Struthio camelus: one gene and its partner. The protein of the gene in region 2 purifies or fractionates together with the protein of the main gene of each other region. This does not show direct contact. Links are inferred from orthologs where the notes say so. Each region holds a gene or a part of one and is shown on either strand. Other genes may lie near its edges.

Evidence for each region.
Region 1: the proteins of PPP6R2 (region 2) and ANKRD52 purify together in Homo sapiens (affinity purification with mass spectrometry; 3 studies listed by BioGRID and IntAct, counting the BioPlex papers as one, with this or other methods). This does not show direct contact. The link is inferred for Struthio camelus from reciprocal best matches to the Homo sapiens genes PPP6R2 and ANKRD52.

Annotation. Positions count from the first base shown.
Region 1 is NC_090969.1:486,722-493,936, reverse strand, and holds the start of ANKRD52 (serine/threonine-protein phosphatase 6 regulatory ankyrin repeat subunit C), read right to left. Parts: upstream 3,015-7,215; 5' UTR 2,958-3,014; coding exon 2,931-2,957; intron 1-2,930. Other genes in the region: COQ10A (coenzyme Q-binding protein COQ10 homolog A, mitochondrial), read left to right, coding at 5,473-5,552. UniProt on the Homo sapiens protein: Putative regulatory subunit of protein phosphatase 6 (PP6) that may be involved in the recognition of phosphoprotein substrates.
Region 2 is NC_090942.1:1,008,263-1,015,780, forward strand, and holds the start of PPP6R2 (serine/threonine-protein phosphatase 6 regulatory subunit 2), read right to left. Parts: upstream 3,004-7,518; 5' UTR 2,850-3,003; intron 1-2,849. UniProt on the Homo sapiens protein: Regulatory subunit of protein phosphatase 6 (PP6). May function as a scaffolding PP6 subunit. Involved in the PP6-mediated dephosphorylation of NFKBIE opposing its degradation in response to TNF-alpha.

The sequences.
Region 1 (7,215 bases), on a different chromosome or scaffold from region 2:
TTTGGTGAAAAAAACATTAGCAAAGCTCTAGCCAAAGTCATAAAGTTAACCACTGCTGTGGCCTGCAGAACTGATGTCCTGAACAGACAGAGCCTCTCTGCTGTCTTTGCACCGGGGTAACATACCTTGTCCCAGAGCACGATGTGTGTGCTAGGCCAGGTAAGCATCGCTCGCAGCAGCATTAAGTTCAGGTGCCGCCCAACCTCTGAGCATCGCCTGAGCACCCAGTAGCCTGTTTCTTGTTTCACAGGCCTAGAAATTACATTTTAATGTTGCAAGATCTTCGGGGCAGAGACTGCGGCTGCTCTAAATCCCTTCAGTGCTCTGCACCCCACGATCACGGCCAAAACCCACGCCTCCTTGCCCAGGGCAAAGCAGCAGGCCAGCCTCCGCTCCTTGCACAGATCTGAACAGCGCGTTCGGGGGTGCTGCAAGCAAGACAGAGCCGCACCAGCCTCCAGCACCCGCTTCTCCAGCTCTGTTCGCGTAGCCAGTGCTGGATCTAATGGTCAAAACCAGCCAAAGCTTCTCATCTTGGCTTCTCAAAGGAACCACAGACCTTCATTTTCGAGGAAATCCCTTCCTGTCCCTGCTACCCAGCAATCCTCACACGCATCTTTCTCACCCCACCATCAAAGTAAAAGCAGTTAAATATGGGGAACACATCCCAGGTCAGAGGGAACGCGTGAGTCATTCCCATGGAATGCAGCAGACTCAGCATCACTCGTTAGACATTTAAAAAAAGGTTTTTCAAAAAAAAAAAAAATCGCAGACGATAATTATGCCCTGAGCAGTCTTCAGCGGAGCGCGGTTTGCAGCAGTGCTGGGTCTGACACACCCACCCACCATTCACAAGGAAAGCTAAATGTTTTGGTTACCCAAAAAAAAAAAAAAAGTTCTATTTAAATCACAGATCAATCCCTCTTCCTCACCCCTCCCCTTCTTCATCCACCACGTGAGGCTTTAAACATTCACTGTATTAATGATAGCACAGGAGTGAGGGACCAGAGGCAGGCGTAAATATTTGGTTTTGAGAGGCCAGCAGCCCAGATCGCTACTGGTGAGGGTGAATAAAGACAATTTATGTAAAACGGGCGGGGGGAAAAGGAGACTTCTGTGGGGAGCACGAAGTTAAGAAGATGCTGGGCATCATCCGTCTAGGGGATACAGCACAAAAATTAAGTCTAGGCAGCAGGGGGACGACAAACAGCCTAGCAGCGTTCATGCTGCAGGAGAGGGTCCTAGCCGGAGGGGAGGCAGCGCGAGGGCGCTCAGGATCGTGGGGTCCAACACGCGGGCCCCAAGGCGGGGAACAGCGCACGGGCCCCATGCCAATGGAAACATGCTCTGATGACACCCGCCACCCTAGCGGCGCCCCCAAAACCCGACGGGGATGCAGACAGGGCTGGGACAGAAAGCACGGCGATCCTTGGGGCAAGGGGGCCCTGGGGCTGGTGTCCCCAGAGGTCCTCCCTCCTTTGGGGCAGGGGGTGCCCAGGAAGGGGGTCCCATCCCCGGAGATATCCCGTTGCTCTTGGGATGGGGAGACCCTGGGGTGGGGGTCTGGGCCCTGTGGGGCAGGGGGGTCCCATCCCCATGGATATCCTGTTGCTCTTGGGATGGGGAGACCCTGGGGTGGGGATCCAGGCCCTGTGGGGCAGGGGTGCCCAGGAAGAAGGTCCCATCCCCAAAGATATCCCATTGCTCTTGGGATGGGGAGACCCTGGGGCAGGGGATCCAGGCCCTGTGGGGCAGGGGTGCCCAGGAAGGGGGTCCCATCCCCAAAGATATCCCATTGCTCTTGGGATGGGGAGACCCTGGGGCAGGGGTCTGGGCCCTGTGGGGCAGGGGTGCCCAGGCAGGGGGTCCCATCCCCAGGGATATCCTGTCGCTCTCAGGGGGCCCTGTGGGGCAGAGGGCTCCTGTCCCAGGGGTCCACTCCCCAGGGCAGCAGGGGGGCTCGGATCAGGGGATCCTGCCCCACTGGAGCTGGGGGACCCGTCTCTAGGGGTCCCCTCGGGGGGGTCCCATCCCAGTGGGGCCAGGGGGGGGGTCTGCATGGGTAGGGGAGGTCCCATCCCTGTGGGGCCCTGGGGGGGGTCCAGGTGGGGGGTCCCATCCTGGGGGTGGGGGGTCTGGGCAGGAGGTCCCCCCGGGGGGTCCCATCCTGGTAGGGCCGGGGGGGGGTCCCATCCTGGGGGCAGGTGGTCTGGGGGGGGTCCCATCCCGGTGGGGACTGGGGGGGGGGTCCATGCGGGGTGTCAGGGCGGGGGGGGGGTCCCATCCCGGTAGGGCCGGGGGGGGGTCCCGTCCTGGGGGCAGGTGGTCTGGGGGGGGTCCCATCCCGGTGGGGACTGGGGGGGGGGTCCATGCGGGGTGTCAGGGCAGGGGGGGTCCCATCCCGGTAGGGCCGGGGGGGTGGTCCGAGTGGGGGGGGGTCCCGTCCCGGCGGGGGCTGGGGGGGTGTCCGGGCTGGGGGGGGGGGGTCCCATCCCAGCAGGGCCCGGGGGGGGTCCCGTCCTGGGGGCGGGGGGTCCGGGTCCCGTCCTAGGGGGAGGGGAGGGGGTCCCGTCCCGGCGGGCAGACGGTGCCGTCCCGGGGGGGCGCCGCGCCCGGGGCCGCCGTACCCGCCGCACCGGGGGCCCCGCGCGGGCCGAGGCGCCCGAGGAGGCCGAGCCGGGGCCGGGGCCGGGCGGGCGGCGGAGCGCGGCGCGGGGGCCCGGGGGGCGGCGGGGGCAGGTGGGCGCGGGCGGCGGGGCCGGGGGCGGCGGGGCCGGGGGCGGCGGGGCCTGGGGCGGCGGCCGGGCCCGCGCGGGCTGCGGGGCGGCCCGCGCTAGGCCGCGCATCCCCGGGCTGGCGTGGCGGGGCGGCCGGGCGCGGGCGGGCGGCGGCGGCGGGCGCGGGCGGGCGGGCGGCGGCGGCGGCGCTACCTGGTCCGTGATGCTGAGAATCCCCATCTCGGGGCCGCCCTCAGCGCCCAGCTCCCGGCATCGGGCTCCGGCCGCGGCGGCTCCGGCTCGGGCGGCTGGCGGGGCGGGGAGCGGCTGGGCCCGCCCACCGCCGGGGGAGCGGCCGCCGCGCCGGGCCGGGCCGGGCCGGGCCGGGCGGCCCCGCGACGGGACCCGCGGAGGGTGCTGGGCCCGCCGAGTCCTGGGGACCGGGGTGCTGGGCCCGCCGAGTCCTGGGGACCGGGGTGCTGGGCCCTGCTGGACCCCTGGGGACCGGGGTGCTGGGCCCGCCGAGTCCTGGGGACCGGGGTGCTGGGCCCCTGGGGACCGGGGTGCTGGGCCCGCCGAGTCCTGGGGACCGGGGTGCTGGGCCCCTGGGGACCGGGGTGCTGGGCCCTGCTGGACCCCTGGGGACCGGGGTGCTGGGTCCCGCCGAGTCCTGGGGACCGGGGTGCTGGACCCCTGGGGACCGGGGTGCTGGGCCCTGCTGGGCCCCTGGGGACCGGGGTGCTGGGCCCGCCGAGTCCTGGGGACCGGGGTGCTGGACCCCTGGGGACCGGGGTGCTGGGCCCTGCTGGACCCCTGGGGACCGGGGTGCTGGGTCCCGCCGAGTCCTGGGGACCGGGGTGCTGGGCCCTGCTGGACCCCTGGGGACCGGGGTGCTGGACCCGCCGAGTCCTGGGGACCGGGGTGCTGGGCCCTGCTGGACCCCTGGGGACCGGGGTGCTGGGCCCGCCGAGTCCTGGGGACCAGGGTGCTGGGCCCTGCTGGACCCCTGGGGACCGGGGTGCTGGGCCCGCCGAGTCCTGGGGACTGGGGTGCTGGGCCCCTGGGGACCGGGGTGCTGGGCCCGCCGAGTCCTGGGGACCGGGGTGCTGGGCCCAGGGGCTGGGGGTGCTGGGCCCTGCTGGACCCCTGGGAATGGGGCACTGGGCCTCGAGGAATGGGGTGCTGGGCCTCAAGGAATGGGGTGCTGGGCCCTGCTGAACCCCTGGGAATGGGGGGGGCAGGTCCCAAGGAAAATCCAGGGGACAACGGCGCTCGGCCCCAGGACGACCCCTTGGCTGGGGGATGCCGGCCCCACGGGTGCCCCGGTGTAAGGCCCCACCGGGCCCCCTTCTCGGCCCCCGCCCAAAAAGAAACTAGGCAGTAAACTGCTGGCCGAGGAGCGAGGAGCCAGGCCTGCCTCTTCCCCTGGTCTGGCCGCTGCCTGCTGGCACGGTCGCTTCGGTGCTCCAGGGCCCGTTCCCGCGAGCGCGCCGTCCCGAGTACAGCGCTCCCGGCTGCGAGCTCGGCGGCCCTGCTTCGGGCAGCAGGCCTTTGCTTTGTGACCGTCTGGAAGCGAGGCCCGTTACCGAGATGGCCACGTTGTGCAGCAGCTAGCACGGCTGCTCCGTCGCCCGGGGGTATTAACCGCTGGAGATGCCTCCCCAGCGGGTGCAGATAGCGCTGCCGGGGGACCCCACGGCCTGCAAAGGGGCGCCGAGCCCCCTGCCGGCGCCCTGCCTGGAAGGATGCTGCAGGTGGCAGCAAGGTAGCTGAAGTTGGAGCCTGGCGCGCCGGGACCGGTGGTCTCTGCCGGCCAGCACCTGTTAGCAGCCAGGTCCCAGTAGCTGCTTCCCTGGCCCGCGTCCGTCCCCTGCTTGGAAATAACTTTAAACGGAGAAAACTTTGGTGCCTCGGCGTTTTCTGCAGGTACCGGGAATTTCTGGTTTGTTGCCTCCTCTGTCGCCCTGCCTGGAAAGGGAGGCGATACCTGGGGACAAAGCACGGAGTTGCTGCCCGCGCCTCTTGAAATAACATCCAGAGACGTAACTGGGTGGCCTGCCACGGGGGTGGCGGGGCCCGGTGGCTCGGTTGACCCCAGTTCGGAGGAGGAGGAGCTGGAGAGAGCGCTGCTGATACCGTTAGCGAGGCTATTTTTATCGTAGGGTGGTTTTTTTTTTTGTTTTTTTTGGACTGGCAATAATTAGCCCCGCGTTAGCTAAGAGTGAAATCAAGGTGAAACGACAGAGGCGGAAAGCTGCAACGAGCAGCTGCTGACGTTTTGCTGCGGGGAAACGCTAGCCCCGGAGGGGGAGCAGCCGAACTAATCGTTTTCTTGGAAAGGCAGGTGCGGCGGGGAGCGCGCGCCGGCCTGTCCCCCGCCGAGCCGGGCAAGGCTCGGTGCGACGGCCGTGAGGGGCCCGGAGCTGGCGCCGAGGGACCGGGGGGGGCCGGGGGGGCCCGGCTGCTTCCAGGCCCCGGTGGCAGTGATGGCGTCCCGGGACTACATCCCCCATCGTGCCCCGCGCCGGCGGGACTACAGCTCCCGCCGTGCCCCGCGCGGGAGGCCGTGCCCGCTGGCACCGCCCCCCTCCCCCTCCCGGCGCCGTGACGTCGGCGGGCTCTATGGCGACGCGGTGACGTCGCGGGCGGGGTGAGAGGTCACGGCGGCGGCGGCGGAGCCGGTGCGGGCGGGTGGCGGTGCCGCGTCCCGGCCCCCCCCCCCGTCCGGTCCGGTCCGGTCCGGTCCGGTCCGGTCATGGCGGCCAGGCGGCTCCGCGGCGCCCTGCAGCTCGGGACGCGGCAGCGGCTGCGGGCCGGGGCGGCCCCGCCCGGCAGGTGAGGACCGGGCCGGGCCCGGCGGCGCGGAGCGGGGCGGAGCGGGGCGGAGCGGGCGGCCCGCAGGTCACCCGCGGCCCCGGGGCAGGGACGGGCGGGCGGGGACGCGGACAGGGCCCTGGGTGCCCCCCGGCGGCGGACGGGGCTGGAGGGACACCCGGACGGGGCACCGGGGGGGCAGCGAGGTGTGCGAGACACGGGGACAGCCGGGGGGGCACCGGGGGGGTCTGGGGGCACCGGGGTGTGCGGGACACGGGGACAGCCGGGGGGGGCACCGGGGTGTGCAGGACACGGGGACACCCGGACGGGGCACCGGGGGGGCAGCGAGGTGTGCGGGACACGGGGACAGCCGGGGGGGCACCGGGGGGGTCTGGGGGCACCGGGGTGTGCGGGACACGGGGACAGCCGGGGGGACACCGGGGGGGTCACCGGGGTGTGCGGGACTTGGGGACACCGGGGGCGTCAGGGGGCACCGGGGGGGGGGCACCGGGGTGTGCGGGGACGGGGGGGCACCGGGGTGTGTGGGACATGGGGACACCGGGGGCGTCAGGGGGTACCGGGGGGTTCACCGGGGTGTGCGGGACACGGGGACAGCCGGGGGGGGGCACCGGGGTGTGCGGGACATGGGGACACTGGAGGGGGTCTGGGGGCACCGGGGTGTGTGGGACATGGAGGCACCGGGGGCGTCGGGGGGCACCGGGGTGTGCGGGACATGGGGGCACCGGGGTGTGCGGGACATGGGGACACCGGGGGGAGGGTCTGGGGGTACCGGGGGAGGGCAGCGGGGTGTGCAGGATGGGGGGACACCCGGACAGGGCACCGAGGGGGTCTGGGGGGGCACCGAGGGGGGGTCCAGCCCTCCGCCCCCTCCATCCGCTGCCCCTGACCGCAGGCAGGACGGGGCGCGCGGGAGGCTCCGGCCCTGGGGCCGACGGGTCCCGTGCCTTGGCCTTTCCTTCGGGAGCGGGGAGCGGGGCGGCGCGCGGGGAGGAAGCGACGGCGGCTGCGTCCCACGGTCGCTCCTAGATGCCGCGGTTTGCTTAGGCTTTGGCGAGCGCAGGCGACCTTGTGCCACCTCGCTCTGTCCCCGCCGAGCCTGGCGCCGGGCTGGGCGCGGGGAGCAGCTCCCGGTCCCGGCGCGCTCGCGTCGTCTTGTGCCAGATCGGAGCCAAAAGCCGCATCTGTGGCGGGGGAACAGGGGCAGCATCGCGCTGAGGGGGTGATTTAGGAGACGGCGCTGCTGGCGCGCGTGCGGCGCCTGGCGCTGCCCCTCGGAGCGAGGCGTTCCCGGCTTTCCTCGGAGGCCGAGACCCGCGGGGGCCGCTCAGCCGAGGGCCAGGGCCCTCCGCGACCTGGGCTCGCCCGGCTCTAAGCCAGGCCGGGCTCTGACCCGGCCCCCGGGTCGCTGGCTACTCTGGGCGCCTCTCCGCGAAGCAGGACCGTCCAGGAGCTCCTGGGACAAGCAGGCCCTTCTCCCCGAGCCACCAGTCCTGGGGGGAGAGCTGCTGTGACCTGTTTGCAGGCACATCTAAAAATACCCGCACTGTCCCAGCGGGCACCAGAGCGCTTCCAGTTATGGCTGTTGCAAAGCTTAAGCCGGTCGGGCCGCGTGGGTGCCACCCGGGCGCTGCACCCGGGGTCGGTCCTTCCTTAAAGCCCTTCC
Region 2 (7,518 bases):
ACTGATTGAGAAGAGCAGGGTTAAGGTCTAGCAAAACAACAAGAATTCCTACAAGTATACCTCAAAGTTCTCAAAAGATTCCATCAACTACTTAGCTCTTGATTTACTCTCAACTTGACCTCCTCTAGTTTTCCTGCACCATTTATATCCAAGTTTCCCAGTTATTCTTGTCATTCTACTATTGTTTCAGAAGTGTTTACTATAACAAGATACTCTTCTATTTCTTGGCATTCCAGTTCACCCATTTTTTATGGCTGCCCTTATTACACTGTTCTAGTTACTGCCCTTCAGGCACTAACACTTTAGTCTCCAAGCCGCAGTGTTAAAAAAACGTACTACTTGATTGTGTGTGTGTGAAGCTATTTTCCCTAACATATAATCAGCAGTTTCTACCCTCACAGGTCTACAAATCTTATTAGCAGAGACAGAAAAGAAGAAAGCTCATCTTCCCTACCTCCTCCCCTGCCCAACTCTGTTCAGATGCATTACCTTTCTTCACTGAAGTTTGGTACTACTAATCCCCTACTGCATTGGGGGGGGGAGGGGGGGGCGGGCAGGGGAGGAAACAGTTTTGGTTTCTCTTTTGACACTTTAGCTGATGGCCAATAAAACTCAGGGGAAAATATGGAAGGAAGTGCTCCTTCCATGGAGGATGGAAAAATATGGCCAGTTAGCCTGGGATGTCTCCTTACGGAGGAAGGAGAGAAACACAGCTAAGTGATTCCTTCTTCTAGCTCAGGACTGTACTAACTGGGGATAGCAAGAATTTAATTCATTCCAGCTGACTCCCCATATGACCAATGAAGTATGAGTCACAAGTGGCAGGGGGAAACACAGACAGAAGGGCTGTCTATCCTTAACAGCTCTCCTGGTACCCCTTTTCAAAAGGCAACTTGCAAGGGTTTTTGAGCTTTCCTCCCAAGGCAGCACTGCATCTAACAGCCTATGCCACTAGTGACAACAGCCTGTAGTTTTCTAAAAATAATTTAGGCCCACAGAACAAGCAAGCTTGAATACCGTTAGAATAAAAACACTGTAAATTTTTAATCATAGTTTTCTCTTTATTATTCACTTTGATTCAATATCCTCCCATTTCTCAACCATGAACTTACAAATTCAACCTGTCCCTTCCACAAACAACTATAAATTCATCAAACATTGGGTAAAGAACGAAGACGCTTCAGTGCTCCCTCCCATCCCCTAAACAAGCGGTCGACATCAGTCACTTTTTCAAAGTTTCAAATCTGTAGGAATCTCGCAAAACCTCAGCACTTGTTTTCTGTACCACACCTCTGATACCATTCTGCTGCAGACTGAGCTTTTCCCAAAAGGCTTCTGCAGTGCCTCCAAATTCCCACAGTTCCTAGATCAGACACTGTCCTAGGTCCCAGAATTTGCAACTTAAGACAAAGAAAGTATAAAAGTCACCAGAAGTATATGCACGTCAAATACATGAAAACAAAGTAAGTTCTCAATTTCAAGCAATTTTTTCATGTCCAATCTTCACTCACCTTCTCCTGAGCAAGTCTTTACTGGGACCACTTAAGCTAGTACAGATCATGATCTGTTCCTATTGCATATTCCAAAATTTAACTTTCCTTACCATGCTATCACCCTCAGTTGCTATGGAAATTGTTATACTATCAGCTGTTGGATTTTTTTTTTAAACCACCAAAAGTAACTAGTTTGCCAAAATATTTTTAAGTGACAGAGTAATAGCAGAAGTCATAAATGTTTACTCCCTTGTCATTCTTAAAGCAGTGTTCTATCAAAAAAAGTCTGCTAGCTAGTGATTACATGCTTGGCTTCAAACACATGTGTAGCTCATAACAGGACTGAGTCTAAAAATTACAACTCTGTTCTATGTTTTTGATGGGGAAAATAAACTACACTATGGAAACAAGCTTCAGTCTTAAAAATAAGTCTTAAGCAGGAGATCAAGATAGGAAAAATACCTCAAGTCCTTCCAAGTTCTCTCAATTTCTCTTTTTCACTTCCTAGTTTTTTGGGGTTTTTTGTTTTTTTCTAAAGCTAGCACAAAACAAGGCCTTCAAATTAGGAAAGAAACCTCCATTAAAGCGGCCAAGAAAAAGCCTTCCTGTAAGATCATGTGCCGCAGTAATTCGATCTGCGGCTACAGCTCCTACCACAGTTTCCGCGCGTTAATACCACCAGCCCAGGACCCTTATTTCCACCGACCGCCCGGGCCGGAGCCCGCGGGGCCCCTGGGCTCAGGTGCGCGGCGCCGCCGCCGCCCCGCGGGTGCTGCCAAGCGGCGGCCGCGCGCGGGCCGCGGAACGGGCGAAGCCGCTGCGCCCCCTCAGCCGACCGCACCCGCTCAGCGGCGAACTCCTGACGGGCCCCGCGCTCCGGGGGGGGGGGGGGGGGGGGGGCGACCTCGGGGGCCGTTCACCCCAGAGGCGGCACCAAGCGACGCCCGGGAACTTCGGCAGGGCGCGGGGAAGGGGCCAGCGCAGCGGCCGGCGAAGGCGGAATCAAGAAGAGGGGCCCGGGCGACCAGCACCGCCCGGACCAAAAACAAATAAATACAGTAAAAACGCGGAGCAGGCGCAGCCGGACACGGCCTCCAGCCCAGGCAGCGCTCCGGGGCCGGGCGGCTCCGCGGGGCCCGGGCCGGCGGCGGCGCTGACAGGGCGGCAGGCCGCGCACCGCCTCCGCGCCGGGCCCAGCGCCGCGCCGCGCCGCAGGAAGCAGGAAGCGGCCGGTGGAGCGGAGCAGGCCGCGCCGAGCGCCCCGGCTCCGGCCCCGGAGGGCCGCGGCGGCGCGGGCCGCGGCGGCGGTGACAGCTCGGCGGCGGCGCGGTCGGCGGGCCCGGCCGCGGGTCTCACCTGCTGGCCGTCCGGCCTGGCCGTCCCCGTGGCGGCGGGGCCGCCGCCGCCGTGCGCTGCCTGGGCTGCGAGAGCCGGCGGGCCGAGGGCATGGGCCGCGGGCGGAGCGCGGGGCGCCGCGGCCGGGCTGCGCTGCGCTGACAGCGGCGGCGAGGCGGCGGCGAGCTGGCGGGCGCTCCGGCTGCCTCCAAAATGGCGGCGGCGCTGCCTGCCTACCCGAGGGCGGGGCGCGGCGGGGGGCGGGGCCGAGGGGGCACATGGGCGGGGGCGGGGCCTGGGCGGCGGGGCGGAGTCGGGGCGGGGGCGGCGCCAGCAGCCAGCCACGGGGACGGGGCAAGGCGGGACAGGTCACAGCCCCGGGGAGGGGGACAGGGCTTGGTGGGACATGTCACAGCCCTGGGGATGGTAGGACAGGGCTTGGTGGGACATGTCACAGCCCTGGGGATGGTGGGACAGGTCACAGCCCCGGGACGGGGACAGGGCTTGGTGGGACATGTCACAGCCCTGGGGACGGCGGGACAGGTCACAGCCCCCGGGGACGGGGACAGGGCTTGGTGGGACATGTCACAGCCCTGGGGATGGTGAGACAGCTCACAGCCCCCGGGGACGGGGACAGGGCTTGGTGGGACATGTCACAGCCCTGGGGATGGTGAGACAGCTCACAGCCCCCGGGGACGGGGACAGGGCTTGGTGGGACATGTCACAGCCCTGGGGATGGTGGGACAGGTCACAGCCCCGGGGAGGGGGACAGGGCTTGGTGGGACATGTCACAGCCCTGGGGATGGTGGGACAGGGCACAGCCCCCGGGGACGGGGACAGGGCTTGGTGGGACATGTCACAGTCCTGGGGATGGCGGGACAGGTCACAGCCCCGGGGAGGGGGACAGGGCTTGGTGGGACATGTCACAGCCCTGGGGATGGTAGGATAGGGCACAGCCCCCGGGGACGGGGACAGGGCTTGGTGGGACATGTCACAGCCCTGGGGATGGAGGGACAGGTCACAGCCCCGGGGACGGGGACAGGGCTTGGTGGGACATGTCACAGCCCTGGGGATGGTAGGACAGGGCACAGCCCCGGGGACGGGGACAGGGCTTGGTGGGACATGTCACAGCCCTGGGGATGGTAGGACAGGTCACAGCCCCCGGGGACGGGGACAGGGCTTGGTGGGACATGTCACAGCCCTGGGGATGGTAGGACAGGTCACAGCCCCTGGGGACGGGGACAGGGCTTGGTGGGACATGTCACAGCCCTGGGGATGGTGGGACAGGTCACAGCCCCCGGGGACGGGGACAGGGCTTGGTGGGACATGTCACAGCCCTGGGGATGGTGGGACAGGTCACAGCCCCCGGGGACGGGGACAGGGCTTGGTGGGACATGTCACAGCCCTGAGGATGGTAGGACAGGTCACAGCCCCCGGGGATGGGGACAGGGCTTGGTGGGACATGTCACAGCCCTGGGGATGGTAGGACAGGGCTTGGTGGGACATGTCACAGCCCTGGGGATGGTGGGACAGGTCACAGCCCCGGGGACGGGGACAGGGCTTGGTGGGACATGTCACAACCCTGGGGATGGTGGGACAGGTCACAGCCCCCGGGGACGGGGACAGGGCTTGGTGGGACATGTCACAGCCCTGGGGATGGTGGGACAGGTCACAGCCCCCGGGGACGGGGACAGGGCTTGGTGGGACATGTCACAGCCCTGGGGATGGTAGGACAGGTCACAGCCCCTGGGGACGGGGACAGGGCTTGGTGGGACATGTCACAGCCTGGGGATGGTGGGACAGGTCACAGCCCCCGGGGACGGGGACAGGGCTTGGTGGGACATGTCACAGCCCTGGGGATGGTGGGACAGGTCACAGCCCCGGGACGGGGACAGGGCTTGGTGGGACATGTCACAGCCCTGGGGATGGTAGGACAGGTCACAGCCCCGGGGAGGGGGACAGGGCTTGGTGGGACATGTCACAGCCCTGGGGATGGTGGGACAGGGCACAGCCCCCGGGGAGGGGGACAGGGCTTGGTGGGAAATGTCACAGCCCTGGGGATGGTGGGACAGGTCACAGCCCCCGGGGAGGGGGACAGGGCTTGGTGGGACATGTCACAGCCCTGAGGATGGTAGGACAGGTCACAGCCCCCGGGGATGGGGACAGGGCTTGGTGGGACATGTCACAGCCCTGGGGATGGTAGGACAGGGCTTGGTGGGACATGTCACAGCCCTGGGGATGGTGGGACAGGTCACAGCCCCGGGGACGGGGACAGGGCTTGGTGGGACATGTCACAGCCCTGGGGATGGTGGGACAGGTCACAGCCCCCAGGGACGGGGACAGGGCTTGGTGGGACATGTCACAGCCCTGGGGATGGTGGGACAGGTCACAGCCCCCGGGGACGGGGACAGGGCTTGGTGGGACATGTCACAGCCCTGGGGATGGTGGGACAGGTCACAGCCCCCGGGGAGGGGGACAGGGCTTGGTGGGACATGTCACAGCCCTGGGGATGGTGGGACAGGGCACAGCCCCGGGACGGGGACAGGGCTTGGTGGGACATGTCACAGCCCTGGGGATGGTGGGACAGGTCACAGCCCCTGGGGACGGGGACAGGGCTTGGTGGGACATGTCACAGCCCTGGGGATGGTGGGACAGGTCACAGCCCCCGGGGACGGGGACAGGGCTTGGTGGGACATGTCACAGCCCTGGGGATGGTGGGACAGGGCACAGCCCCGGGGACAGGGACAGGGCTTGGTGGGACATGTCACAGCCCTGGGGATGGTGGGACAGGTCACAGCCCCGGGGAGGGGGACAGGGCTTGGTGGGACATGTCACAGCCCTGGGGATGGTGGGACAGGTCACAGCCCCGGGGAGGGGGACAGGGCTTGGTGGGACATGTCACAGCCCTGGGGATGGTGGGACAGGGCACAGCCCCGGGGACGGGGACAGGGCTTGGTGGGACATGTCACAGCCCTGGGGATGGTGGGACAGGTCACAGCCCCCGGGGACGGGGACAGGGCTTGGTGGGACATGTCACAGCCCTGAGGATGGTAGGACAGGTCACAGCCCCCGGGGATGGGGACAGGGCTTGGTGGGACATGTCACAGCCCTGGGGATGGTAGGACAGGGCTTGGTGGGACATGTCACAGCCCTGGGGATGGTGGGACAGGTCACAGCCCCCGGGGACGGGGACAGGGCTTGGTGGGACATGTCACAGCCCTGGGGATGGTGGGACAGGTCACAGCCCCCGGGGACGGGGACAGGGCTTGGTGGGACATGTCACAGCCCTGGGGATGGTAGGACAGGTCACAGCCCCTGGGGACGGGGACAGGGCTTGGTGGGACATGTCACAGCCTGGGGATGGTGGGACAGGTCACAGCCCCCGGGGACGGGGACAGGGCTTGGTGGGACATGTCACAGCCCTGGGGATGGTGGGACAGGTCACAGCCCCGGGACGGGGACAGGGCTTGGTGGGACATGTCACAGCCCTGGGGATGGTAGGACAGGTCACAGCCCCCGGGGACGGGGACAGGGCTTGGTGGGACATGTCACAGCCCTGGGGATGGTGGGACAGGGCACAGCCCCCGGGGAGGGGGACAGGGCTTGGTGGGAAATGTCACAGCCCTGGGGATGGTGGGACAGGGCACAGCCCCGGGGACGGGGACAGGGCTTGGTGGGACATGTCACAGCCCTGGGGATAGCGGGACAGGTCACAGCCCCGGGGAGGGGGACAGGGCTTGGTGGGACATGTCACAGCCCTGGGGATGGCGGGACAGGGCACAGCCCCGGGGAGGGGGACAGGGCTTGGTGGGACATGTCACAGCCCTGGGGATGGTAGGACAGGTCACAGCCCCGGGGACGGGGACAGGGCTTGGTGGGACATGTCACAGCCCTGGGGATGGTGGGACAGGTCACAGCCCCCGGGGACGGGGACAGGGCTTGGTGGGACATGTCACAGCCCTGGGGATGGTAGGATAGGGCACAGCCCCCGGGGACGGGGACAGGGCTTGGTGGGACATGTCACAGCCCTGGGGATGGTAGGACAGGGCTTGGTGGGACATCTCACAGCCCTGGGGATGGTGGGACAGGGCACAGCCCCCGGGGACGGGGACAGGGCTTGGTGGGACATGTCACAGCCCTGGGGATGGTGGGACAGGTCACAGCCCCCGGGGAGGGGGACAGGGCTTGGTGGGACATGTCACAGCCCTGGGGATGGTAGGACAGGGCACAGCCCCCGGGACGGGGACAGGGCTTGGTGGGACATGTCACAGCCCTGGGGATGGTAGGACAGGGCACAGCCCCCGAGGACGGGGACAGGGCTTGGTGGGACATGTCACAGCCCTGGGGATGGTGGGACAGGGCACAGCCCCGGGGACGGGGACAGGGCTTGGTGGGACATGTCACAGCCCTGGGGATGGTGGGACAGGTCACAGCCCCCGGGGAGGGGGACAGGGCTTGGTGGGACATGTCACAGCCCTGGGGATGGTAGGACAGGGCACAGCCCCCGGGACGGGGACAGGGCTTGGTGGGACATGTCACAGCCCTGGGGATGGTAGGACAGGGCACAGCCCCCGGGGACGGGGACAGGGCTTGGTGGGACATGTCACAGCCCTGGGGATGGTGGGACAGGGCACAGCCCCGGGGACGGGGACAGGGCTTGGTGGGACATGTCACAGCCCTGGGGATGGTA